Linked DNA regions of Macaca mulatta. The protein of the gene in region 6 interacts with the protein of the main gene of each other region in a pairwise test. Links are inferred from orthologs where the notes say so. Each region holds a gene or a part of one and is shown on either strand. Other genes may lie near its edges.

What was found.
Region 1: the proteins of NUP62 (region 6) and KRT20 interact in binary tests that used the Homo sapiens proteins (3 or more experiments, as listed by UniProt). The two-hybrid records come from large-scale screens. The link is inferred for Macaca mulatta from reciprocal best matches to the Homo sapiens genes NUP62 and KRT20.
Region 2: the proteins of NUP62 (region 6) and CCDC121 interact in binary tests that used the Homo sapiens proteins (3 or more experiments, as listed by UniProt). The two-hybrid records come from large-scale screens. The link is inferred for Macaca mulatta from reciprocal best matches to the Homo sapiens genes NUP62 and CCDC121.
Region 3: the proteins of NUP62 (region 6) and BFSP1 interact in binary tests that used the Homo sapiens proteins (3 or more experiments, as listed by UniProt). The two-hybrid records come from large-scale screens. The link is inferred for Macaca mulatta from reciprocal best matches to the Homo sapiens genes NUP62 and BFSP1.
Region 4: the proteins of NUP62 (region 6) and XPO6 interact in binary tests that used the Homo sapiens proteins (3 or more experiments, as listed by UniProt). The link is inferred for Macaca mulatta from reciprocal best matches to the Homo sapiens genes NUP62 and XPO6.
Region 5: the proteins of NUP62 (region 6) and AGR3 interact in binary tests that used the Homo sapiens proteins (3 or more experiments, as listed by UniProt). The two-hybrid records come from large-scale screens. The link is inferred for Macaca mulatta from reciprocal best matches to the Homo sapiens genes NUP62 and AGR3.
Region 7: the proteins of NUP62 (region 6) and CCHCR1 interact in binary tests that used the Homo sapiens proteins (3 or more experiments, as listed by UniProt). The link is inferred for Macaca mulatta from reciprocal best matches to the Homo sapiens genes NUP62 and CCHCR1.

The regions. Positions count from the first base shown.
Region 1 is NC_133421.1:65,262,822-65,266,321, reverse strand, and holds part of KRT20 (keratin, type I cytoskeletal 20), read left to right. Parts: intron 1-534; coding exon 535-617; intron 618-2,438; coding exon 2,439-2,595; intron 2,596-2,947; coding exon 2,948-3,109; intron 3,110-3,274; coding exon 3,275-3,400; intron 3,401-3,500. UniProt on the Homo sapiens protein: Plays a significant role in maintaining keratin filament organization in intestinal epithelia. When phosphorylated, plays a role in the secretion of mucin in the small intestine.
Region 2 is NC_133418.1:97,366,458-97,370,399, reverse strand, and holds the start of CCDC121 (coiled-coil domain-containing protein 121), read right to left. Parts: upstream 2,801-3,942; 5' UTR 2,543-2,800; coding exon 2,175-2,542; coding exon of another isoform or gene 2,165-2,174; exon of another isoform or gene 2,033-2,164; intron 1,987-2,032; coding exon of another isoform or gene 1,967-1,986; exon of another isoform or gene 1,952-1,966; intron 1,709-1,951; coding exon 754-1,708; 3' UTR 1-753. Other genes in the region: GPN1 (GPN-loop GTPase 1), read left to right, coding at 2,838-2,948, 3,651-3,744.
Region 3 is NC_133415.1:66,512,169-66,515,660, reverse strand, and holds part of BFSP1 (filensin), read right to left. Parts: intron 1,942-3,492; coding exon 1,721-1,941; intron 129-1,720; coding exon 43-128; intron 1-42. UniProt on the Homo sapiens protein: Required for the correct formation of lens intermediate filaments as part of a complex composed of BFSP1, BFSP2 and CRYAA. Involved in altering the calcium regulation of MIP water permeability.
Region 4 is NC_133425.1:27,658,247-27,661,746, reverse strand, and holds part of XPO6 (exportin-6), read left to right. Parts: intron 1-2,683; coding exon 2,684-2,839; coding exon of another isoform or gene 2,840-2,865; intron 2,866-3,500. UniProt on the Homo sapiens protein: Mediates the nuclear export of actin and profilin-actin complexes in somatic cells.
Region 5 is NC_133408.1:111,410,803-111,413,407, reverse strand, and holds part of AGR3 (anterior gradient protein 3), read right to left. Parts: intron 1,168-2,605; coding exon 1,115-1,167; intron 576-1,114; coding exon 499-575; intron 1-498. UniProt on the Homo sapiens protein: Required for calcium-mediated regulation of ciliary beat frequency and mucociliary clearance in the airway. Might be involved in the regulation of intracellular calcium in tracheal epithelial cells.
Region 6 is NC_133424.1:62,390,486-62,394,634, reverse strand, and holds the start of NUP62 (nuclear pore glycoprotein p62), read left to right. Parts: upstream 1-1,349; 5' UTR 1,350-1,426; exon of another isoform or gene 1,427-1,548; intron 1,549-2,887; exon of another isoform or gene 2,888-2,999; intron 3,000-3,744; exon of another isoform or gene 3,745-3,889; intron 3,890-4,149. UniProt on the Homo sapiens protein: Essential component of the nuclear pore complex. The N-terminal is probably involved in nucleocytoplasmic transport.
Region 7 is NC_133409.1:151,917,831-151,920,893, reverse strand, and holds part of CCHCR1 (coiled-coil alpha-helical rod protein 1), read right to left. Parts: intron 1,285-3,063; coding exon 1,172-1,284; intron 971-1,171; coding exon 925-970; intron 782-924; coding exon 645-781; intron 552-644; coding exon 363-551; intron 267-362; coding exon 165-266; intron 1-164. UniProt on the Homo sapiens protein: May be a regulator of keratinocyte proliferation or differentiation.

The DNA.
Region 1 (3,500 bases), on a different chromosome or scaffold from region 6:
AGTAGACCAAACCCTGGGGCATCTAGGGTTGCATTTTGTGACTCTATTATGTTAAACACCCATGTCATTATTTTTTCTATATTTTCTTGTAGAAATGCTTGAAATAAACATCATTTTTGACATAATAGTCACTGCAGCTGGAGATAAACTAAATCCTTGTAAATACCTATCCAATTGAAAATGTCATTCTTGGCTGGGCGTGGTGGCTCACGCCTGTAATCCCAGCATTTTGGGAGGCCGAGGCAGGTGGATCACCTGAGGTCAGGAGTTCAACACCAGCCTAGCCAACATGGCAAAACCCCATCTCTACTAAAAATGCAAAAATTAGCCAGGCATGGTGGTGGATGCTTGTAACCCCAGCTACTCGAGAGGCTGAGGCAGGAGAATCGCTTGAACCTGGGAGGCAGAGGTTACAGTGAGCCAAGATCGCACCATTGCACTCCAGCCTGGGCAACAGAGCAAGATTCTGTCTAAATAAATAAATAAATAAATTTTTAAAAAAGAAAATGTCATTCTTTCTCATGTATTTTCCAGATTAAGGATGCTCAACTGCAAAATGCTCGATGTGTCCTGCAAATTGATAATGCTAAACTGGCTGCTGAGGACTTCAGACTGAAGTAGGTTCCCTAATATGTGGCAAAAGTTTCTGAAAAAGAATTCCTTTAGTAGTCCTTCCAGATAATCAGCTTTCCATATCATTGTTGGTAAAGGAACCACGGTTCAATGTTTCCAGAATCCTGAAGCCTAAAGGAGGTTAGAAGCTACGTGTTAGAAGCTAGCCCAGCACTCAGGGATGACCTTCTCTCTCTTGATCCCCTGGCATGTAACTGAACACCTCCAGTCACTACTATTCTCCTTTGTTATTACTGGTTGCTAAGTTTCTTTTTTTTTTAGTAACCTGGTATCTACCTTTTAACCCATTAAACCTAATTCTGCCCTTTGGAGTAATAAGAAAGCAATTTACAGTTCTCCTTCTCCCTAAGTGTCTCTCTGTTATCTAAAGAGAGTCTTAAGTCTACCCTTGGTGATTCTCCAAGTAATTCTCCATGTTCATTCAAGTACCTGCAAGTGTATGACCCAAGTTCCAGGGGTGACTCTTGATGATTTCTGGTTTGCCAGTGTTTTACAGGATGGTCTGGCCAACCAAAGAATCAGGACCAATCTATAATAATTAACCGGGTGTGGTGGCACATGTCTGTAATCCCAGCTACTTGGGAGGCTGAGGCAGGAGAATCACTTGAACCTGGGAGGCGGAGGTTTCAGTGAGCCGAGATCGTGACATTGCACTCCAGCCTGGGTGACAGAGTGAGACCTTGTCTCAAAAAAAAAGAAAAAATTGTGTTTACTTTCTCTGTAGTCATCACACCACATGTGACCAGAGCTGTTCCTTACAAACAGCTTCCACACTAGGGCATCTTCATCCTGAATTTGTACAATGCATTAACACCAAAAAGCCTTTTGTGGTTAGAAGAGTAGCCTTTTAATGCTCCAAGAGATTAACTAGAAGGAAATAGGAAATCAAATCCAAAGATTAAAGCAGTAAAGGTGCATTAGTTACAATTTTACCTAGCACTGAGTGTCCCATTGCATTGTCACTTTTTAAAGCTGGATATTTTAGGAAATTGGGCAGGGCGTGGTGGCTAATGCCTGTAATCCAGCACTTTGAGAGGCTGAGGCAGGCGGTTTGCTTGAGTCCTGGAGTTTGAGAACAGCTTGGGCAACATGGCGAAACCACGTCTCTACACAAAAATACAAAAAAAGTAGCTGGGCGTGGTGGCATACACCTGTGGTCCCAGCTACTTGGGAGGCTGAGGTGAGAGGATTGCTTGAGCCCAGGAGGTTGAGGCTGCAGGGAGCCATGATCGCATCACTGTATTCCAGCTTGGGTGACAGAGTGGTACCCTGTCTCAAATATACACACACACACACACACACACACACACACACACACACACACACACACATATATATATAGTGAGAGAGACAGAGAGCGTATGTAAGATTGTAGAGGAGGATGTAGAGCTGTTTGAGATAAGTCACTTTGGATGCCTCAGTTCACAAAGTTATAAAAATAAATTGATCATGTACATTCATTAAGTAAAAGTATTTAATATCAATAATGAGAACCCTTTGCCAACACAATAATTAACACAATTTAATTTCTTGTAAGATAAATTCTAGAATTTAGAAGTGCTCAAAATTATTTCAGATTGCCTTTTTCCAGTCACTCCAAATTATAGAGATTATATTATTGAGCAAATTGTCTGATTCCTAGGTTCTTATGTACATTTCATGAATGTATAAAGGCAGACATTATAAAGTTTTGAAATTGATCTCCTCATAAGCCACATTTAAAAACCTATCTCATTATATTAGATTCTCTCTCTTATAATGGCTACAGAAGGACCAGTTATCTCTGTATACTAATTAATTCCCAGGTATGAGACCGAGAGGGGAATACGCCTAACGGTGGAAGCTGATTTCCAAGGCCTGAATAAGGTCTTTGATGACCTAACCCTACAAAAAACAGATTTGGAGATTCAAATTGAAGAACTGAATAAAGACCTAGCTCTCCTCAAAAAAGAGCATCAGGAGGTGAGAAAATATTCAGAAGTGGTATTGGAAACGATGGAATGGTTCTATATAATAATAATAATAGGAGGAGCAGGAGAAACAGGAGAAGGGGGAAGAGTTGGTGGTGGTAATGACAGAGATGATGATGATGACAATAGTGATACAAGCCCCGCCTTCTTTTCATAATGTTGTTGTAGGTTAAATGACTTAGAGCAGTACCTGGACCACAATAAGCCCAACACAAGTTATTATTTTATTTCTTTTTTACTCATTGCCAATGAAAGAGGTCATGAGACTTCTTATGTCTTTTCTGCCCAACCTTATCTGAGAATGTGCTTCAGACTAAAATCAATCCGAATTTTCACTTTCATAGGAAGTCGATGGTCTATACAAGCATCTGGGCAACACTGTCAATGTGGAGGTTGATGCTGCTCCAGGCCTGAACCTTGGTGCCATCATGAATGAAATGAGGCAGAAGTATGAAGTCATGGCCCAGAAGAACCTTCAAGAGGCCAAAGAACAGTTTGAGAGACAGGTAACCGCACAATTGTAAAGTGTGAGCAAATGTGTAGAAGCTTTCCTCCAGAAAGAGATAACTCAGTTTCTTCTTCATTTGTTCATTCTTTCTTTCTCTTTCTGTCTTTTCTTTCTTATTTCCATCCCTCAACTGTTTGTTTTTTTTTCACTCGGCACTTTGTAGACTGAAATTCTGCAGCAACAGGTCACAGTGAACACTGAAGAATTAAAAGGAACTGAGGTTGAACTAACAGAGCTGAGACGCACCTCCCAGAGCCTCGAGATAGACCTCCAGTCCCATCTCAGCATGGTAAAGCACATCTAACTTCTCTTTCTCAATCCAGTATGTGTTTACCAAGGTCCTCTGTTAGGAACTTAGAAATGCAAAGACCTACAAGAAATAACCCTTC
Region 2 (3,942 bases), on a different chromosome or scaffold from region 6:
ATTTTCCTGAAATAAGGGGAGGCATTCAGTCACCTCCATGCTACATGTGTTTCTTCAAAGAAAACATTTTCAAATGTAAGAGCTGACCTAATAGATGTCTCCTTCGTCTTCTCTTACCTTCTCAATTTACTTAAAGCTAAACTTGTAGGGGCTTCACATCAGATGAAAGGTCACTCTGCCTAGCACTTACTGGACTTGCTGTTATCAGAATGCTTTTTCGCTCATGAGAAAACTAGGAGCTACCTGGTCACTGGCACAAACTTACAAAAATCTTATAAAAACTGCTTTTGTCTGCTAAGTCGGTCAAAAGGAATGAGGATAAACTGATACTGGTTATTTACTGAGCAGAACGCTATTCAGTCTATTTGGAATGCTATCCTTAAAGGTACTTTTTCTCTATAAAGAAATCTAGTTAGATGAAATAAATCACAACTGTTTTCACTTCCTCGGGTTGGTTTCCTTTAGCTAGTTTGATGTATGGTAAATGGCTAGGTTAGGGTCATGTGTTAGGTTAACTAGAGGTTTGTGGAATATCTTATTAACAAGAGTATTTCAAGAAAAAACTAGTTAAGGGAAGCTGGTTACCAAATATCTAGTAGGACTGTTGGATAAAACCATCTAATCCTCCACTCTAACACTCATGATGGAGATGTTACAATAACAATCTGGAATCCAAAAGCCTTCCTAACCAGGTTAATATAGCACTTAAGAGTACTTGCTCCAGTTATCTAATCAGTGTTATTTTAGGAGGAGTTACTTTGGATTAATCCTTGATTTGGTGCCTTGGGGAAGACTGGGTGTGGTCTTTGGAACATCCTGTCTATTTAGGCACTGATTATGACTTCCTTGCAATCTCTGCCTCCCCCGGATTAAGGACTCCAGATACCACTGTTCCTGCTGCAGCTGCTGCTTCCTGTTTTCTAAGTGGCTTTGAGTAGCCGTTAGTTTCTGGGCTTGCTCAATTAGCTGCAGTAATTCCTTCTTGAACTGCTGGTTCTCTCTTTTGAGGCCACAGGAGTATTCAAAAATAGACCGCTCTGCTGCCAACTTCAAGGCCTGGGCTTTCTTATTAAGCTCTCTTCTTTTTCTCTTTCCCAGTAGCCTCCTGTCTGGCTCGCTCAGTTGTTTCTCCAGTAATCTTTTCTCCTGGAGGAGCTGGGCCTGTACTTCACGTGTCTTTGCAGCTGTCTCAGCTTGGACTTTCTTTTTCTCCTCCTGTAATGTCTGTATTTCTTTCTCCTGCTTTTCCTTTAATATAGCAATGTCCCTCATTGCCTGCAACTTCCGCTTCAAACTGGATTGGATATTTTCCTTTTGCAAGAGCGCTGTTTTAAGCACTGAAATTTGTTCTGCATATCTGGAGGCTGATTCTTGTCTTCTTCGTTCAATCTCTCCACTTTGTTGTAAATAGCTGTTCCATACCTTCTCAGGTTGCTTTGTGTACTCTTCAGTTTTGTTAGTCAGGTATTCCAGAAAGAACCTGTTTTCAGCCTGGACAAGTAACTTTTCTTGGTATAGCTCCCTGTATTCCTCCAGTAGCTGTTCCCGCTGGATTTGAGCTTGTTTTATATGCTTGTTCAGAACCGTCATTTCCGCCACTATCTTTTCTTTAAGGATTGTCTCCACCTTTGTTAGCTTCTCTGGCTTGACAAAATTATTTATTAGCCTATGATACGGTGGAAGGAGCCTTCTGGGGCCCTCAGCAAACCTGAAAGAACAAATGAGACATTCCTCTCTCAGTTGATGAAACTTTAGGAAGTGCACAACTGTCCTTTATTTATACCAGAGAATATTTCTGAGTACCCAGAATGTTCCAGACATTATGCAAGGTGAGGGGAATCCAGCTAGTGGTAAAAGATGACGGATTTAGCTCATCATTTACAACGTGCGTTCACCACAACCCTGGGAGGTACTATCTCAGTTTTAAAAAGAGAAAACAGGTTCAGAGAGTTTAAGTGAATTGCCCATGACTCACACCACTAGCAAGTGGCAGAGCCTGGGTATGAAAGCCAGATCTTATGACTTACTGAACACTGTTAGCAGCTACAAAGGGCCACAGAAACAGACTGGGTGGTTGCGAGTAGAAATACTTTTCTAAGCTCTTTCATCATCTTTCCTGAGTTTCTGAGAGCCCTTCAGTGAGAAGGAAGCTCCCCTCCAGTACCTATTCGCACCTGGAATCCAAGCATTCATCCTGAAGGTCACGGCAACTGCGTAGTTCACCGAGGGTGATTACCAAGGAATGAGCGCTAGCATCAGGAACCTGCGCCTGCAACTCGCGGGAACAACGTGCAAGTGCGGAAAACTCCCGTAGTTTATCCGTTCGGTGCTCAAAGGGTCTCGGTGCTGCCCAGCAACCCTGGAGGCTGCACCCTGCTCCAGTCCTGGCTGGTCCAGCCCTGAACTGTTTAACCGCCTCGGCTACCGAATAAACCCGAGCAGCCGGTCCTCCAGTGGCTCCGCTCCCCGCTCTCTGCGGGCTCGAAATGAGAGGCATGCGCCTCGTTTTCTTGCTGTGTGAGTCCTGCCCTCGGGACCCCATCTCTTCTCGCCTTCCCCCTGGGGCCAAAAGCCCTCCCAGGCTGCAGAGATCAGAGCCCTTTCCTAGCTCCCTTCAGCCTTCCTCTCGCTTGCTCAGCGCCCCCACTTCCTCGCCACTGTCACTAGTTGGCTCACCAGCCCTGCCCGATACTAAGAAGATGCCCTGGCAACTACCGCGCCCCTTCACGCTCCTTTCTGACGCTTTGGTTCTGTTTTCGTTCGCTGCCCAGAACATCGCGGAAGTTTCTCTAGCCATGCGGTGTCTCTATGGTCAGGTGGGCGGGGCCAGGAGGAAGATGGCGGCTCCCGCAGCTGCAGCTGAGCCCCAGGCTTCTGGGGGTCCGCGGCACCCAGTGTGTCTGTTGGTGTTGGGAATGGCGGGATCCGGGAAAACCACCTTTGTACAGGTGACGTACACAGCGTGGGTGTAGTAGGGGAGCGCAAAAGGTTGCCTCCGACAGGCGGAAGGCCAGGGAGAAAGGGAGGGAGGTCTCCGAGGATTTGGAGGGTATCGGCGCATGGGTTTCGGTCGTTTCCCATCAACTTTAGTTCCTTCCCCGGCAAAGCCTCCTCGGGCCCTAGCCAGGTTAATTAAGGCTGTCTTCTGTGCACCTTCAGTGCATACTCGGTCAGCTTACCACGTTGTACAGGAATTGTCTTGCTGATAAAATTGCCAGTTTCTCGAAGGCAGGGGCTTACAAGTAACTTTAGAGATTAATACAGTGCTAGCACACAGGTTTTGGTGAAGATTTGCCGAAGAATTATTTCTTGCACGCCTGTCATGTACCATTCACTGGGGATATAGCGAAAATTAGGTTGACAAGATTCATTCATGGGGCTAAATATTTAATGGAGGAGATAGAGAAAACCCACATACGAAGAATCAAAACAAGTAAACAAGTGACTATGAGTAGGGGAAGTTTTGTTAGATGGGTGATGAAGAAAGGTAGCATTTGAACTGAGAGTTGTATCTTGGTGGTGGATATAGTGGGTGGATATTTCAGGTAAAAGAAAATCTAAGTGCAAAACTCTTAAGGCATGGGTGGTAAAGGAAGTTCTCTCTTGTCCCCTCTTTGTCTCCTTCCAACCTTCTCCCCATATCTCTGCAGAGGCTCACAGGACACCTGCATGCCCAAGGCACTCCACCTTATGTGATCAACCTGGATCCAGCAGTACATGAAGTTCCCTTTCCTGCCAATATTGGTGAGTAAACCGGTAACATAACTTGTGTGAAGTGCTTTAAAGAGAATGGAAAAGGCCGGGCGCAGTGGCTCACCCCTGTAATCCCAGCACTTTGGGAGGTCGAGGCAGGTAGATGAAGAGGTCAGGAGTTCAAGACCAGCCTGGGCAAGATGGTGAAACCCCATCTCTACTAAAAATACAAAAAATTAGCCAGGCGCG
Region 3 (3,492 bases), on a different chromosome or scaffold from region 6:
CAAGACAGAAAAAAACAGAGGCCCAGGGTTGGGGAGCGTTACCTTTCCCACCGGATCCAGTGCTGAGAGAGACCCCATGGCTCTGGGTGAACAGGGGAATGGGAGTTTCAATGAAGGCAGAGCTCAGCCTGTCAGAAAGAATCAGAAAAAACAAGCCAAACAGATGGTCAGGGGCAAGAGTGACTCTCGCTAATGTTGAGCAAAAATGGAAAAAAAAAGCTTTCTCTAGACCAAATTGCTCACAAATTAGATACCGTTTTAAACAGACAGCCATACACACATTTACACACTGGATGAGGACCTAAAGGAAATAATCATTTCTTTGAGCTCAAGAGTCATAAACTGTGAAACATACCTATAAAAAAGTATAAAGTAGGGATTGCTTATAACCTAAAAACGCCACTTCTCCATGAGACAGTGCCTTTTTGGTGTTTTTGCCTTTTTGGTTTTTTGCCTTTTGATTTGCCTTTTTGATTTTTTAAATTAAGAGTGGCCAACTCAGGCTGAAGTATTTAGGGCAAACAGGGTATGATGTCTCCAATTTAAGATATATGTATACACACACAAACACACACACACACACACACACACACACATATCATATATAAATAGAGAAAAATGATAACAGCAATTGAAATAAAATATAAACAACTGGTGAATCTGGAGTATTCAGGAGTTCCTTGTTCTATTCTTGTAACATTTCTATCAGTTTAAAATTAGACCAAAATCAGAACTTATAGATAAATAAAAGAGGTATCCAGTCAGCTTTCTGTGAAGCCCTGTCCCAAAACAAAAATGTTTACAAAGTCATTAAAATGCCAATTCCAGACTTATTCTTGCAGATGTGTGCATAAAGTGTTCACTGTGACATAAATATCATGTGGAATCATGCCAGATACACTGAGCAGCACCGGAGAAAGAAAAATAAAATCCTGCTTCTCCTGCCAGGCATTTGTCTGTGCACAGCCAAGACAGAGCCCCCAGGGCGAAGGGAGGAGCTGCTCCTGGTGGGGACCTCAGTTGTGGAGGGCTTCTCTTTTCATTCAATCGAAACCCAGGAATTTAGCAAGACTGGAGTGAAGAATCACAAATTAATTCCCAGCCTGTTCTCCGGGAAAATCACTGTAGCTACGAACATGGACATAGCTGGAGAGAAAGAGAGAACTTCCCAGCTGTCTTAAAGTGAGTAGGGATCGAGTCACAGCTCCATTATGGAGGAGACCAGACAGCCACATAGTGACAGCCACAGACTGACCCAGTAAGGTGCTAAGAATCATGAGAATGGCAGCAGGAGCACCACCAACACCTCTGAGTGCCCTCGAGTGCCAGGCTCTGTGCCAGGTAGCTCACCTGCAGCACCTCATTAAATACTCCTGGGCATCCCACCTGCTGGGACATTTATGTCTCCAGAGGCCTATGAGCAAAACGCTGGCTTCTCAGTGAGGCCTTTTCTGACCACCCTACTTAAAATTGCAAGCATTCTCCCATCACCCCCATCGCCACCGCCCTCCTCCCTGCTAGAGCTTCCTCCTCGGCACTGGCGGTACCTTCATCCTCTGTCTCCCCTATTAGTTTTCCAGCACCCATGGGGTCAGGAATTGTTGTGTTTCCTTCCCTGCCACATGCCCACTTTCCTAGAACTGTGCCTGGCACATAATAGACACTCAACAAAGAGTTGTGCAAGGAATAAGTGGCCCGGATGGGGAGGGCACACTCTCACCTGTTGCCTTCAATCTCGATGATACGATGATACCGGTCCAGCTCATTCTTCAGGGTTTGCTGGGCGACCGCCAGCTGCCGGCAGTCGTAAGAAGACTTCTCCAGGACCCGCTCTGTCTCCTCAATCTCCTTGCGCAAGGTCTCAATCTGCTCGTTATAAAGCTGAATCTCATCGTCATAACACTCATGGGCACTTTTAATAGCTTGTTCCAGAGTTGTTGTCTGCAGGCAAGGACACACTGTAAGAAAATCTATCGCCCTCCTCCCCTAAGAGACAGACCTCACCAGGAAAAGGAACCTGGACTCAGTGAATGTTTTATTTTGTTTGTGTGTTTCTCTGCCCATTAGAGATTAGCAATGAATCACTTTGGAATCCTTAAGCTAAAAAACAATGTGAAAACTGAGCTCCTGTGTCCTTACACCTTTTTTTTTTTTTTTTTTTTTTTCTTTTTGATAGAGGATCTCACTTTGTCACCAGGCTGGAATGCAGGGATGTGATCACGGCTCACTGCATCCTCCAACTCCCAGGCTAAAGTGATCCTTCCACCTCAGCCTCCTGATAGCTGTGACTATGGGCAAGCACCAACACACTGGGCTAAATTTTTTTGTTGTTGTTCTGGTAGAGTTAGGGTCCTGCTTTGTTGCCGAGGCTGGTTTCAAACTCCTGGCTTCCTCCTCCCGCTTCAGCCTCCCAAAGTGCTGGAATTACAGGCATGAGCCACTGCACCCAGCCCTTCTTGCACTAATATCAGCACCCTCTGCAATTAACCCATAAGGAGGCCCACCCCAAAGGCAGTCTGAAGACAAACCTAGAAAATAAAACAAAACCTAGGCCAGGTGGCTCACACTTGTAGGTAAAATAAAATGAAACCTAGGCCAGGTGGCTCACACCTGTAATCCTAGAACTTTGGGAGGCTGAGGCCAGCAGATCACTTGAGGTCAGGAGTTTGAGACCAGTCTGGCCAACATAGTGAAACCCCGTCTCTACCAAAAACACAAAAATTAGCCGGGTGTGGTGGCACACGCTGTAATCTCAGCTACTTGGGAGGCTGAGGCAGGAGAATCACTTGAACCTGGGAGGTGGAGGCTGCAGTGAGCCAAGACCACACCACTGCACTCCAGTCTGGGCAACAGAGCGAGACCCTGTCTAAAAGGAAAAAAAAAAAAAAAAAAAACCTGCTATCCGTGGAATAATAATTCAAATAAAGTACATTCTTCAGACCTTAATGAATTAGCATAAACCCAATAGCCAAAAAATAAGGAAAAAGAAGAGCATACTGAATAGATAAGATGCTACTTTTATTGAAATACTGAGTGGGAGAAAAGTTTCCTTGTTCTCATTCAGTCACTACGGTGCTTTGATTTTCTGCTGAGTTTGGATCGGCAGAGTTACATTTATGTTTTGGTAGCTAAGGTGTGTGTGTGTGCATTTGTGTACACGTAAAATAATGTCAGAGAAATACATTAATCAGAGAAAGTAAAAATTAAGGCAGGAAAATAGAAAGAGATAGTTTTATATTCAGTGTAAGAGCTTGTGATGATACATAAAGACCCATAAATGCTCAGTTGTGTGCCACATAACAGTACTGCAGTCAACAATGGACTGCATATAGGATGGTGGTCCCATAAGAGTATAATGGAGCTGGACAATTCCTGTCGCCTAGTGACAACCGCAACCATCCTAGGGCCATGGAGCCACACGTTCACTCACATGTCTGTGGGGACGCCGCCGTAAACAGACTGTGCTGCCAGTTGCATAAAAAACTTCTAGCA
Region 4 (3,500 bases), on a different chromosome or scaffold from region 6:
AAAGGTCTTGCCTGAAACTAACATATTTCTTCCACCTCTGTTTCCTTGGCCAGAGCCAGCTACGTGGCCTTGGCTTAACTCAGGGCAGGGAAGTGTGATGCCACTGTGTGCTGAAAGGGTTTGCAGTGTAGTATGTGAATGACGTCTTCACTATGCTGACTGTGTGCAGGCACTGGGTTGAGCACTTTGTATACATTATTTCATGTAACTTCCTGTGTAACCCTGTGAGGTGTGTCTTATCCTCATTCCACAGTGTCTTGAAATGAAGTTTGGAAAGTTTCATTTTTCTTATCTTGACTTTATACTTTGAAAAAAAAATTCCAAACCTACAGACTAGCTGAAGGAATAAGAAAACAACTGCATCTCTCTCACCCAGATTCACTAATTGTGAATGTTTTGCCACATTTGTGGTCTTTTCTGCAACACACTTTTTCTTAAAAGCCAGCTGTTTAAGTTGCAGATAATTGACACTTCATCCCTGAATCCATAACCTTTGTATCTATATAGAACAAGATATTAAACGTTGTTACAATAATGTTATTTAACATGTAGGCACATTAACACTTTTCCCCAGTTGTTACCAAATTGTTCTTTTTTGCTTTTAAAAAATCCAGGATGTGATCTAGGACGGTTTCATTGTGTTTGGTTGTTATAACTCTGTAGTCTCCTTTGGTCCAGAAGAGCATGCCCACTTTTTGTCTTTCGTGACATTGGCATTTTTGAAGCATCCAGGCCTGTTTTCTTGTCACATGTCTCATAGTCTTGTTTTGCCTGATTGTTTCCAGTAGGTTGTGGTGTAGTGGTGCATATTCGTGTTCGCATTTCCTCTTGCGTTGTTTCTGTTTGTTCCATCCTTGGTGATGCTCAGTCTGGGCGCCTGATGGGAGTAGGGCCTGCCGGTCTGTCCATTGGGAAGGTGCTTGGCAGGTGTCATTGCTCAGGACTGTAGAGAAAGTGGGCCAGGTCAAGAGTTGGACTTGGGTGTGAATGGCTCCAACTCCTGTGTTCTGCACCACTTTGCCGCATTGCCTCTTTCTTCTTGAAACCTCCCCCCGCCCGCCAAAAAAAGAAAAGAAAAGGAAAGAAAAGAAAAAAGGTTCTTAATAGTTTTATAATGTCCTGTCTCATGGAAGTAAAGCAGTTACCTACTCATTCTCCTATTATTACATACTTATAGTGCTTTCAATTTTTGACTTGTACATTTTTTAAAAATACATCTTTTGTCCTCGTTTGAATTTCCTTAAATGCCAGAGGTCAGATTTTGGTTTCTTGACTGTTGGTTTTTCACCCTAAACTGCTTCCCCTGTTGCCTGTGCGTTCTTGAGGAAGTGGCTGCCCTGAGTGCGGTTTCCTGGCTTAGTGGAAGTCCACATGCTTGTAGTTGTGGATGACTCCCTCCTCAGCAGTGTGGGTGAGCCTTTCCTTTACTCTCCAGTGTCACTGTGATGGGGGACCAGGCCTGTGACGAGAAGCGTCTTCCTTCATCCTCAGCCCTGTGAGTGGGGCAATGCTCTCTTTCCACATTTTCAGATGAGGCAGCAGCAGGGCCAGGCCTGCCTCCATCCACCTCCTGAGCATGTCTTCTTTCTGCCGTATCCCCTCCTTAAAGCTGCGGCAGTCCCACAGAGGCTGCTGAGCACTGGGGTTCGGAGGACCCAGAGAGTGCTCCAGGTGGGGGGCAGCTCTCAGCCCAGCTCTGGCTCAGCCTCTGGCGTTCGCCAGGGTTGAATCTGCTAGGCTCAGGCTGAGCCATGGGTGTCACCTTGGGGAGGTTGGTAGGGGACTCTGCATCTTAAGGGGGTGACTCCACTCGCTCTGGGAACAATGGCAGCATCCCCGTCCTGGACCTTCTTAGATGGCTGGCACACTGCTAGCATCGTTCAGGACCTTGTCTCTAATCCCCACTGCGGCGCTGCCAGGGTGGGGTTGTCGGCTCTCCCAGATGGATGAGGGTCTTGCCCACGGCACGTAGCCTTCAGATGATCACCTGTGGTTCATAGTCAGGGCTCTCTGACCCCTGGCCTGTTTGTGGCCCACTACATCTGTTTTCCCTGTGTGCCAAATGGAGTCAAAAGTCATCTCAGGGTTAGCATTATATATTGTCAATAACATAATAACAATAATTATATGCCTTATCAAGCTACAAACCTAATAGGCCAAAGATGGATCAGGCAGGTTGTTCCTGCAGCCAGCACCATTACATGTGCATGGCAGGTGTTTGTGGGATTACTGGACTGGAGTAGTGTCCCACTGAGGGACAAGGTTTGAGCTGCATGTGTCCATCCTGGCCTGTGACCTTATGACACTCATTTTCTCACCAGTCTATTCACCATCTTTTAGATTTGATTAAATCCAAGGCACCCAACCTGGGGGTGCATTTATTTATCTTTTTTCTTCTGTGGACTTGTTGCTGATGGCCAGAGGCAAAAACCTGAGCAGGCAGGCATCTTCTCCCCAATAGACACTCCAGGCGTCTGGAGTCCTGGCAGTAATAATAGTAAAAACAAAAACTAAAACATAAAGAGAGGAGAATTTATATTGTAATCAAGAGACTGTTCCTTTAATGAGACCCGTGTGATCATCTTCTTGGTACCTTTGCAAGTTTCCTCCCTCTCCCTTGTGTCTCCTCTTGCGTGCTTTCTCCCCAGACAGCTTATAACCTGCAACTCATCTTGATTTGCAGCCAAAGTGATTATCCACCAGACACTCAGCGTCTTAGAAGATATTGTGGAGAATATCTCGGGGGAGTCCACCAAGTCTCGACAGATTTGCTACCAGTCGCTGCAGGAATCCGTTCAGGTCTCCCTGGCCCTCTTTCCAGCTTTTATCCATCAGTCAGGTAGGAGCTGGCCCAGAGCCCCACTGGTGGGTGGTGCTAACAAGGGCCAGAATGCCCACTTAGATCTGTAAAGCACACTGAGTCAGTGCAGTACAGGCCTCGACCGGCTCCGTGCAACGAAACCCGGTACTGAAGGGAAAGGGCAGTGGTGTTTATTTGCGGAGTCTGGGGCCAAGGCCCTATGGAAAAGTGAGCAGAGCCCTCCATATGGGCCTTGGCACCTACAAGAGAAGGCTAGAGAGCTTTTTTGGCTTAGTTCTCCTTATTTTGTGGCAAGGCGCATTTGCCGAGATCATTCCCCTCACCCTTGTCTGTCACTGTCAGTGATAGAGGGCCTCTCTAGCTCTGTGGATGTACTTGCCCAGCTCTCATGAGAGCATTATAGTAGTCTTGTCAGTTTTACAAGAGAAATATCAAGCACTTCTCAGTCAGCAAATATTCATTGCCTCTTGCAAGCAGATTGCGTGCAGTTAGAGCTGAAACACTACACAAGATGATTGTTGAGATCTGGAAGTGAAACTGCCCTAAATGTAAGCAGTATTTTCTGCAATTAGTCCATTTAATGGACCAGGGGCATGCAATCTAAATACACCTTCATTATCCACTTTCAACCACTCAACCTCTGACCCAACTGCAGGGATTATTAGTCATAGGGGGAAAT
Region 5 (2,605 bases), on a different chromosome or scaffold from region 6:
TGTGTGAACTAGACTGTCAGTAAATTCTATTTTGGCCTTTTATAATTCCACATAACTTCCTCTATTAACCAACATTTAGCTCTTTGTGCTTTAAAAATAGAAAAAAAGGAGGCCGGGTGTGGTGGCTCATGCCTGTAATCCCAGCATTTTGGGAGACTGAGGTGAGTGGATCACCTGAGGTCAGGAGTTTGAGACCAGCCTAACCAACAAGGTGAAACCCCATCTTTCCTAAAAATACAAAAATTAGCTGGGCATGGTGGCAGGTGCCTGTAGTCCCAGCTACTCGGGAGGCTGAGACAGGAGAATAACTTGAACCAGGGAGGCTGAAGTTGCTGTGAACCCAGATCGCACCACTGCACTCCAGCCTGGGCGACAGAGCGAGACTCCATCTGAAAAAAAAAAAAAAAAAAAAAGAAAAAGAAAAAGAAAAAAAGAAAAAAGGGATTCAAATTTTCCATGAAATTATAATATTAAGAAAACATCATAAAGTTTATGTACCATAAGGTTTAGCATGATGAACTTATTCTGAGCCATTTCTTGTATTTCTTCATTTTGGGAAAATACTTGTTTTAGTGCTATAGGGGAAAACAAAATTGTCTGTTAGTTTTAAGGATCAAGAGAACTTTAATGTAGCATAGCAAAATAAAGCTAATATTTAGCATTTGTTTGCATATATAACTCAAGTGTAAATATTAATAGTTCATTGGCCTATTGCCACTTTGCAATGAGGGACAGTCTGTTCAAGGAGACATCAAAGGATAATCACAGTGAAGACACTAGTTTTATAATTTTATGTAACTCATTGACTCATTGGTTAAGACAACAACTTTTTTCTTTCAGTGTTTCTCCACCCTCTCAGCTCACCCCTCTCTTTTCATGGGAAGAAGAGGAATATCTAATTTCTAAGGGGATATAATAGAAATATTCAGTAGATTGGTAACAATCATTGTGGTCTTTAAGCACTTTAATAAAATGATGGTACTCTGGCAGTTGTCTAATTTTTTTTTTTAATGAGATTTGCTGAGTGCCTTCTTAGCTATTATTACCAGGTCACTTTTCCTATTTTATATTGGAAAATTATGTATTATAATAAGAGCTCAGGGACTAAAATTACCTTGGGAGTATTGACAATCTTCCAGGTGATGAATAACCATTAATGGCTTCTTACTAAACAAAGAAAGTATGGAATTAAGTCAAATGATTAACTTTGAGTCAAAACATACAGTGGAGTTAGATTTGAAGTTTTATTAGTTTCAATAAGACTTACAGTAGTAACTCAGATTTACAAATCATAGCACTGTAGTCAATAGCAGTGTTACTCTATTTGTGGCCCCAGAACTGACAGTATCAGTATCACTAGGTAGCTTATTAGGAACTTAAATTCAAAGGCTCCATTCCAAAATTAGCTGGGCGTGGTGGCGTGAGCCTATAGTCCCAGCTGCTCTGGAGGCTGAGATATGAGAATCACTTGAACCCAGGAGGTGAGGTTGCAGTGAGCCAAGATAGCACCACTGCACTTCAGCCTGGGCGACATAGCGAGACTCTGTCTCAAACAAACAAAAAACCAAAGGCTTCATCCCAGACCCACTCAATCAGAATCTTTGGGGTGAGGGGTGGTTTCAGGCATCTGTAGTTTAACAAGCTTATTAGGTAATTCTTATGTACTCTATAGTGCAGTTAGAGAAAATCAATCGTGTATCCAGAGATAAAGGGATATTATGAACAATGTATTCATTTCCAATGAACACTTAGTGTAAGATTTCAGGAAAGTCAAAGACTTAAATGTAGTTTTTAAAAAAGTTTTACAAAAAAGCTGTTAATATTTGGCTATTTTCATATCCTTTCATTCTGGCACATTGTAGAATGTACAGACAACATAAGTGGAAGTTTCCTAGTTAATACATTTTTGGGGGGTCATTTTGATTTTAACCATAAAAAAGTGAAAAAGATAAAAATTCTTCCTCCTCCTGCTGACTTCTATAACTATGCTGTATTACTTTTCTTTATATTTTCTCCCAGAGGTTTTCAGGTCATATAACTGAAAATCTATATGAATATATATATATTGTATATACCCAGATGCATGTTCATATTTATGTGCATGTATTTCTTTCTAAAAAACAAAAATACTAGCACACAAGTATCTACATTTTGCTTTTAAAATATAACATATATCTTAGTTATGCCACTATTCTTTTATATTATATTCTATTATATGAATATATTTTATCTTATTAGTCCCCCCAAAGATGGATATTTAAATTGTTTCCAATCTCTTGTATTTAGATTGTTCCTAAACATTTACATTTGTACACTTATTTGGTAAACATGCTGGTTCTTTTTAAGGCACAGTTTCTTTACACTCATAATTGCATACTAAACTCTTATATAGTTCATATTTACAACCTGCCGTAACATTTTTGCATTCTGAATTAGTCCTTCATATTTTGATATTTGGCATAATGTTCAAACACACTTTATACACACTGACCTCTCCTTAAACCACTCATAGATTTAATAAATCCTACAGAAAAACATTCAGAGATTATTTGAAGGCTTGATCTTCAACCACTCACAGATTTAATAGATCCTACAGCAAAACATT
Region 6 (4,149 bases):
GCACCAAGGCGAAAGTGGAAGACCTACACGTGTGAGACAAGAGTGGGTGGGGTCGTGGGGTCAGGAAAGCCTCATCCACCGGCCAAAATCATGGGGAAGCCAAGCCACACCCCCAGGCACGTCCACGGGGCTCCTCCCTCCCCCTTCCAACCACAGTTTATAACTAAGCCTCAGCCTCTCCGAATTCTAAATTTGCCCTTTCTTTACCCAAATCTGAGCCCCACCCACTCCCAAGGGAATTTCTTTAGGTCCTAAGGTAGGACCGATGCCCCACCCTTTCCCCCAATACAGAAACCTAAGGGTCTCCCAGGGGAATTACCTTAGGCCCCTCCCATCCACCTCAGAATATTCCGCTTCATGGAAAAACTCAATTCCAGGGACATTTTCTTCCAGCCACGCCCCTTGCCCTAAAATATTTCCTTTTGGCCCCACTGCCTTCCTAGCTTCCATCCCAAACCAGTGCCCAGGGGAACTGCCCCAGGCCCCAGCCCTTCAGCAATGTTATCCACTCAAATCCCACTCCTCGCTTTGCCACTGTCCCTCCAAGCCCCGCCCCTCATTGTTTATTTAGCTCCGCCCCTCTCCGATTCCCCAGAGGCCCCGCCTCTTTGTCCCATCGAAGCCCCACCCCTCAGCTAAAGGTTGGCTTAGCCCCGCCCCTTCTCACAATGGGCTCACGAAATCCCACCCATCGTGACGACAGTGGTTCTAGCCCCACCCACTTAGAGGGCTGCCTCTAAGCCCCGCCTTCTCCCCTGTCAATCTAAGCCAGTCCCCGCCTCAGCAGGTGCCTGGTTTAAAAGGAAGGAAGTTGGGCTGTGAGCCAGAGCAACGTGGAGCAGGGAGGGTGGAGGAGGGTAGAGGGGGCAGGCAGAGAACTGCTACCCGAACGCCAGCCGTCCACACGCGGCTATGCGCCAAGGGCCAAAGCGCATGCTACGTCTTCCGAGCTGTCCAATTGCTTTACACCTCCGCCTTCTTGGGGATCAGTGCGCATGCGCGGACACTCAGGGCCCGCGCTCATTCATTACGGGGCACTGGTAGGCTACTGCGCAGGAACAACCAAGCACGCACAGAATCGTTTAGAAAAAGACCACACCCTCCCTTGGAGTGCGCAGGCGCAGCCACACGCCGGCTGACAAACATCGAGTCTCTAGAACTCTCCCACCCGGCTCCGGGCCCAGTGCGCATGCGCAGCCGCGCGCCTTCGGCCCACCGTACCTCTTCTGCGCCTGCGCGACCGTGATTCCCCGCTCGCAGCTCCCCTCCCCCCAGGGCTCCCTAAAGAGGGCCACGAGCTGCGAAAGGGCGGGAAAGGCGGTTGGAGAGGGACAAGTAAGCGGTTACTCACTCCATGGCTGCAGAAAGGAGAGGCGGCGGCGGCCTCGGCTGAAGAAAGAAGGTGGGAGCGGAGAGCGCAGGCGTGGTAAGCGCGGAGTCGGGCTGGGGGCACAAAGGGGTCGAGGCTACAGAGCCATGGCTGGGGCTACGCAGGCGGAGGCGGAGAACGCTGTAGTTAGAAGAGACCGTGATCTGAGGACGGGGAATGAGGCGGCCCCGGGGACTGGGGACAGAAATACTTCGGGTGGCGCAGCATGGCCCGCCCGGATCCTTCCGCGCCCCGCCCTCGCGGGGCCCCAACTGGGTGGCAGCCCGGTCCCCTCCTCCTGGGGATCAGGGGATCCGACCTCTTCCTTCCCACTCCTAGGGTCCAGGCCCCTCCTCCCTTTTGAGCCAGGGATCCGGCCCTCTCGTAGCTCCGGGGTCTGGTTTCCTCCTAAACTCTGGTTTCTTTCTTTTTCTGCCTGTGAGGTCTGGGCCTGCTTCCTCCTGTGATTTTGTGGATCCAGTCTCATTCTCTTCCCGGAGACCTGCACCATTTAATTTCTGTTTCCCTTTCCCTGCTTGCAGAATTTCCTGCCAGCCACACTTTTCATGTTTTCATCCCCCAACTGCTGACCCCGAGAAACCCTCGTGGGTTAGAGTCCAGCGTGAGTCACAGCACTCTCCCAAACACAGACCTACCAGGATGGCCTCGGGCAAATAGCTTAAGTTCTCTTGCTTCATTTCCCTATCCGTAAAATAAGAAAAATCAGCTCTCCTGGTGGGTTTATGAAACTCAAGACGGTGTCTGGCAAGCCTTATGCACAGAGTTCAACTCATACGTTCCTGTTCAATTTTTTTTTTTTTTTTTTTTTTGGTGAGATGACGTCTCTCGGTCTCTGTCGCCCAGGCTGGAGTGCAGTGGCGCGATCTCGGCTCACTGCAAACTCCGCCGAGTTCACGCCATTCTCCTGCCTCAGCCTCCAGAGTAGCTAGGATTACAGGCGCCCGCCACCACGCCCGGCTAATTTTTTGTATTTTTAGTAGAGACGAGGTTTCACCTTGTTAGCCAGGATGGTCTCGATCTCCTGACTTCATGATCGGCCCGCCTCGGCCTCCCAAAGTGCTGGGCTTACAGGCGTGAGCCACCGCGCCCGGCCTCAACATATTTTATTGGGGCCCAGCCTCACTTCTTCTTTCCCCCTTACAAGAGCCGCAGACGTTGGACTGTCTAACTCTTGCTGTCGTTCTTCTGTCTCCCTCATTCCTCTGAAGTGTCTGTTTCCGGCCATCCTCATCTTCCGTTCCAAATGATGGGTGCCCAGGCCCCATCCCCTGGCAGGGATTCAGACATCGAGGCCCCAGCTGCGTCCTTTTCTCCATCCCTTGCCCTTGGCTTCCTTTCAAACAGTCCTTAGCTTCCACGGGATAGGAACTATCTCCCAACCCTGCCAAAAATGGAAGATCTCCGTTTCCCTTTAGTCAGAGGGTAGCCATCTTGCCCCTTCTCATGCACAGGGCCCTCCACCAGCCGAGGTGGATGTCAGTCTTTTCTCTCTTGCAGAAACCCACTTTGTCCCATCCACGTCAGGACATCCCAGCTGGAGTTCAGCCTTCATCCCTTCTGTGGCAGTTAGGAGACTGAATCAAGGTCCAGAGAAGGTGGAGGAATCCTGGTATTGAGCGTTTTACACAAGCTTCTTTCTCCTCCCTTACTTGTCGCGGGCAGGAAGCCCTTCTTGGGATCTGACCACCTTCCCTTAGAGCACTTATTGTCCACTTTGCCAGCTTTTGAGCACCTGCCCTATATTTCCTTGAGCTTGTAGGGGTTGTGTTATCACTGAGACAGTATACAGAGTAGCAGCTAAGAGCATAAACTGAGCTTGTCCCATCCGTGGGCCTGCATGTGGCCCAGAATAGCTTTGAATGCAGCCTAATACAAATTCGTAAACTTTCCTAAACCATACGAATTTTTTGCGAGTGTTTTTTTTTTTTCCTTTTGAGCTCATCAACTATCATTAGTGTTATTTTATGTGTGGCCTAAGACAATTCTTGCGATGTAGCCCCAGGAAGCCAAATTTTATACATCCTTGGCATAGACTCTGGAGCCAGATTTATGAGTTCAAAACCTGACTGCACCCCTCTTATTAGCTGTGTGACCGTAGCCATTTCCCTTCCCGGTGCCTCGGTTTCCCCTGTGGTACAAGGTGGTGTTAAGAGTACCTGCCTCTGGGCCAGGCACGGTGGCTTACGCCTGTAATCCCACCACCCTGGGAGGCTGAAGTGGGCAGATTGCTTGAGCTCAGGAATTCGAGACCAGCCTGGGCAACATGGTGAAACCCCGTCTCTACAGAAAATACAAAAAAATAGCTGGGTGTGGTGGTTTGTGCCTGTGGTCCCAGCTACTTGTGAGGCTAAGGCAGGAGGATCACTTGAACCCTGGGGTGGGGCAGAGGTTGCAGTAAGCGGAGATTGTGCCACCACACTCCAGCCTGGGTGACAGAGTGAGACCCTGTCTCAAAAAAAAAAAAAAAACAAAAAAAACAAAACTGCCTGCCTCATAGGGCTGATTAAATGAGTTAATCCGCGTCGAGCAGTTAGACTAGTGCCTGGGACACAGTAGGTGCTGCATAAAAGTGGTTACTGTTACTGCTATAATTAAGGTGGATGTGTTCTCATTCCATTGCTGTGCAGTAAGTCCAACTTCCTTCCACTTCTCAGTATAGGTTTTTGAGCAAAAGCAGATGGAATTAAGGGTAGACTGTTGGACAGACTGCCAGTGGTAAGGACGCAGAGACGTGCCCTACCCCAGCCCCCCACCGGCAG
Region 7 (3,063 bases), on a different chromosome or scaffold from region 6:
CTACATGGGTGTGTTCATGAAGTGAGAAATCTTCTGTGCTATTCATGGATACCTCCATTACTTCCTGTAATGAAGCTTTGAAAAAACTTGGAGGGGAAAATAATAACCTATGTCTTAACACTTCCTTCTTCCTGGAAGGCCCTATCCACCCTGGCAAGGCTCACCGGCCTTGGCATGCTCCCTCCGAGCCTCGTTCAGCCTCCTCTCTGTGTCTGACAGTTGCTCCCGCAGCCGAGTTTCCACTTCAGCCACCTTCTCTTGCAGGGCTGGGGTGAAAGTGCAGACGGGGCGTATCAGCAGGAGCTTTGATTTGCAATTCCCACGCCACCGTCCAAGGGAAGCACCCCTTTCCCTCTCGACACCTTGCCTGTAGAGGTCCTGCTGCTGGGTCAGCTCCTGCCGCAGACTGGCAGCCTCCTCTGTGCTCTCCTGCTGGCCCTGGCGTGCCACCTCCAGCTGCAGCCCCAAGCTAGCCAGGGACTCCTGGGTCTGCTGCAGCTCCTGCTCCAGCTGCTGGGCCACCTTGCTCAGCTGCTGCCGCTCTGCCTCCCCTAAAAGGAGGGGGTGCTGGGTCAGGCCTCTCCTAGCACCCTAGACACCGGGTCTTTCCTCATCCTTGCCACCCCCCTGGCAACCAGGTGTACCTTGTTCCCGAGCCCGGCCCACCTCCTGCTGAATGAGGCGGGCACTCAGCTGCAGTTCTGCATCCAGGCGGTTCCGTTCTTCCCGCAGCTGCTGCAGCTCAAGGCTTACGTCTGTGACTGGTGGTGGTAGGGGACAGCTGGGACAGGGAAGAGAGAGTCAGGAGAAATCACCCAGCTGCCTGACCCCAAAGCACCCATCCTGCCTCAGTTCTCATGGTTTTGGGGGTCCCAGTAGCCAATGCTCTAAAGCCCCATCCACCTCAAAGTGCCCAAACTTCACCTCTCCTGGCGCAGCTGAGCAAGGGCAAGCTTTCGAGCAGTCAGGCCTGGGAGGGAAAAGGCAGGGAGAAAAAGAGATGAAGTTTGCATGGGAGAAAGTGGGGGACAGGGAGTAAGGGAAAAAGAGATGCGAGGGCTGGTGAAAGGAGGAAGGTGAATGGATGTGGGATCACAGAGCTGGGTCAGGAAGAAGAAAGTCCGAGCTGGTGGGGCGGGGGCGGGACATGGCTCCCAGTTGCCCTACGCACCCCGAATGGTGTGGACCTTGCGGACAGCATAGCTGAGTCGGTTGTTGAGGCTGGGAAGCCGGGCGGCAGCCTCTTCCACCTTAGCCATGGTGCTCTCGAGCCAGATCTGAGAGCTGGAGAGGGCACAGGTCATTGACCCTCCATGCCTCCCCTCATTCCCAAAGGACTTGCTGTGCCTAGTAGAGACAACTCCCTCAATCCTGTCCTGTTATACAAGTGAAGAACGCACAGCTTCCATCAATTATCTAAAGGGACCTTGCCCCAAGAATGCATTAAATGACTATCTTTTAAAGCAACCTGTTAAGCTTATTTCTCACAACCTGTGTTTCGCTCACTATTGTGCATCAAAGAGTAAAGTTATCCTCTCTGGCCAGAGGCTTCTGCCTGTAATCCCAGCACTTTGGGAGGCCGAGGCGGGTGGATCACCTGAAGTCAGGAATTGGAGACTAGCCTGGCCAACATGGTGAAACTCTGTCTCCACTAAAAACATAAAAATGAGCCGGGCATGGTGGCTTATGCCTGTAATCCCAGCTACTCCGGAGGCTGAGGTATGAGAATCACTTGAACCTAGGAGGTGAAGGTTGCAGTGAGCCAAGATTGCGCCCCTGCCCTCAAGCCTGGGCAACAAAGTGAGACTCCATCTCAAAAAACCAAACCAAAACAAAGTCATCCTCTCCAAGCCCAGGAGTGTTGATTTAGCACCAATGACGGGCAGACCCACATGCTTTACCAGCTGGCTGTGCCAAAAGTAGGACCGACCTGGCTCATGAAAACTGAGCAGCTTAAACAGGCCCCTGGAGGAGGCCAAGGAGTGTCTAGGGCCCGCGTGGGGTTTCCTCAGGAGAGTCCGGGTCTGCACCCACAGAAAAACACAGGATGATGAAGGCTTGCAGCTGCATCGCCAGCAGCACGGCAAAGTTCACTTTCATCTGGAAACTGTTCAAGTAGATGCTTCCAACACCTACCGCAGCTCGTAGTAAAGTCTCCAAGTACCTAGAGACAATCTAATAAACCCAGCAACAATCCGAGTTCAGACTGCTTTAAGCCTGGAGGACTTTTGGCAATGCATCATTACACAGACCATTTCTGTGATTGCCTGGTACCAAAGTCAAACCCTGTCCGCAGCACATCTTTCTGTTCTCCTGGAGGTAGGGGGCACACGCAATGGATTGAACCTGGGTGGTAGGTCATCATAACTAGTTTAATTCCATGCAAGTGTGAAATGTTTCATAATTTTTTAAGCTGAATTAGTCCCCAAGGTACAAATCCAAGAGAAGGAAGTGGTGGGCAAGGACTCATCCTGCATCTTAATTTCGCTAAACCAAAAATTATCTTTATCTAAATTAACCCATCAAGAAGAGCCTCATGATAATGATAAACATTTACAAGCCAGACACTGTGCTAAGAACTACCTGCCTTGGGTATCTCAATGTCCAAGGCTGAGGGGAAGTCATCACCAGCACAAAGAAGCTTTGCTGTTTCCTTAGAAGTTTTTCCGAAGGTCGTAGAACAATTGTTGGTAATGAAACAACTAGGAAGTTGGGGCCGGGCGCGGTGGCTCAAGCCTGTAATCCCAGCACTTTGGGAGGCCGAGACGGGCGGATCACTAGGTCAGGAGATCGAGACCATCCTGGCGAACACGGTGAAACCCCGTCTCTACTAAAAAATACAAAAAACTAGCCGGGCGAGGCGGCGGGCGCTTGTAGTCCCAGCTACTTGGGAGGCTGAGCCAGGAGAATGGCGTAAACCCGGGGGGCGGAGCTTGCAGTGAGCTGAGATCCGGCCACTGCACTCCAGCCTGGGCGACAGAGCCAGACTCCTTCTCAAAAAAAAAAAAAAAAAAAAAGGAAGTTGGTATGAGACACAAAGGCTGGCAACTGATTTAGAAGGAA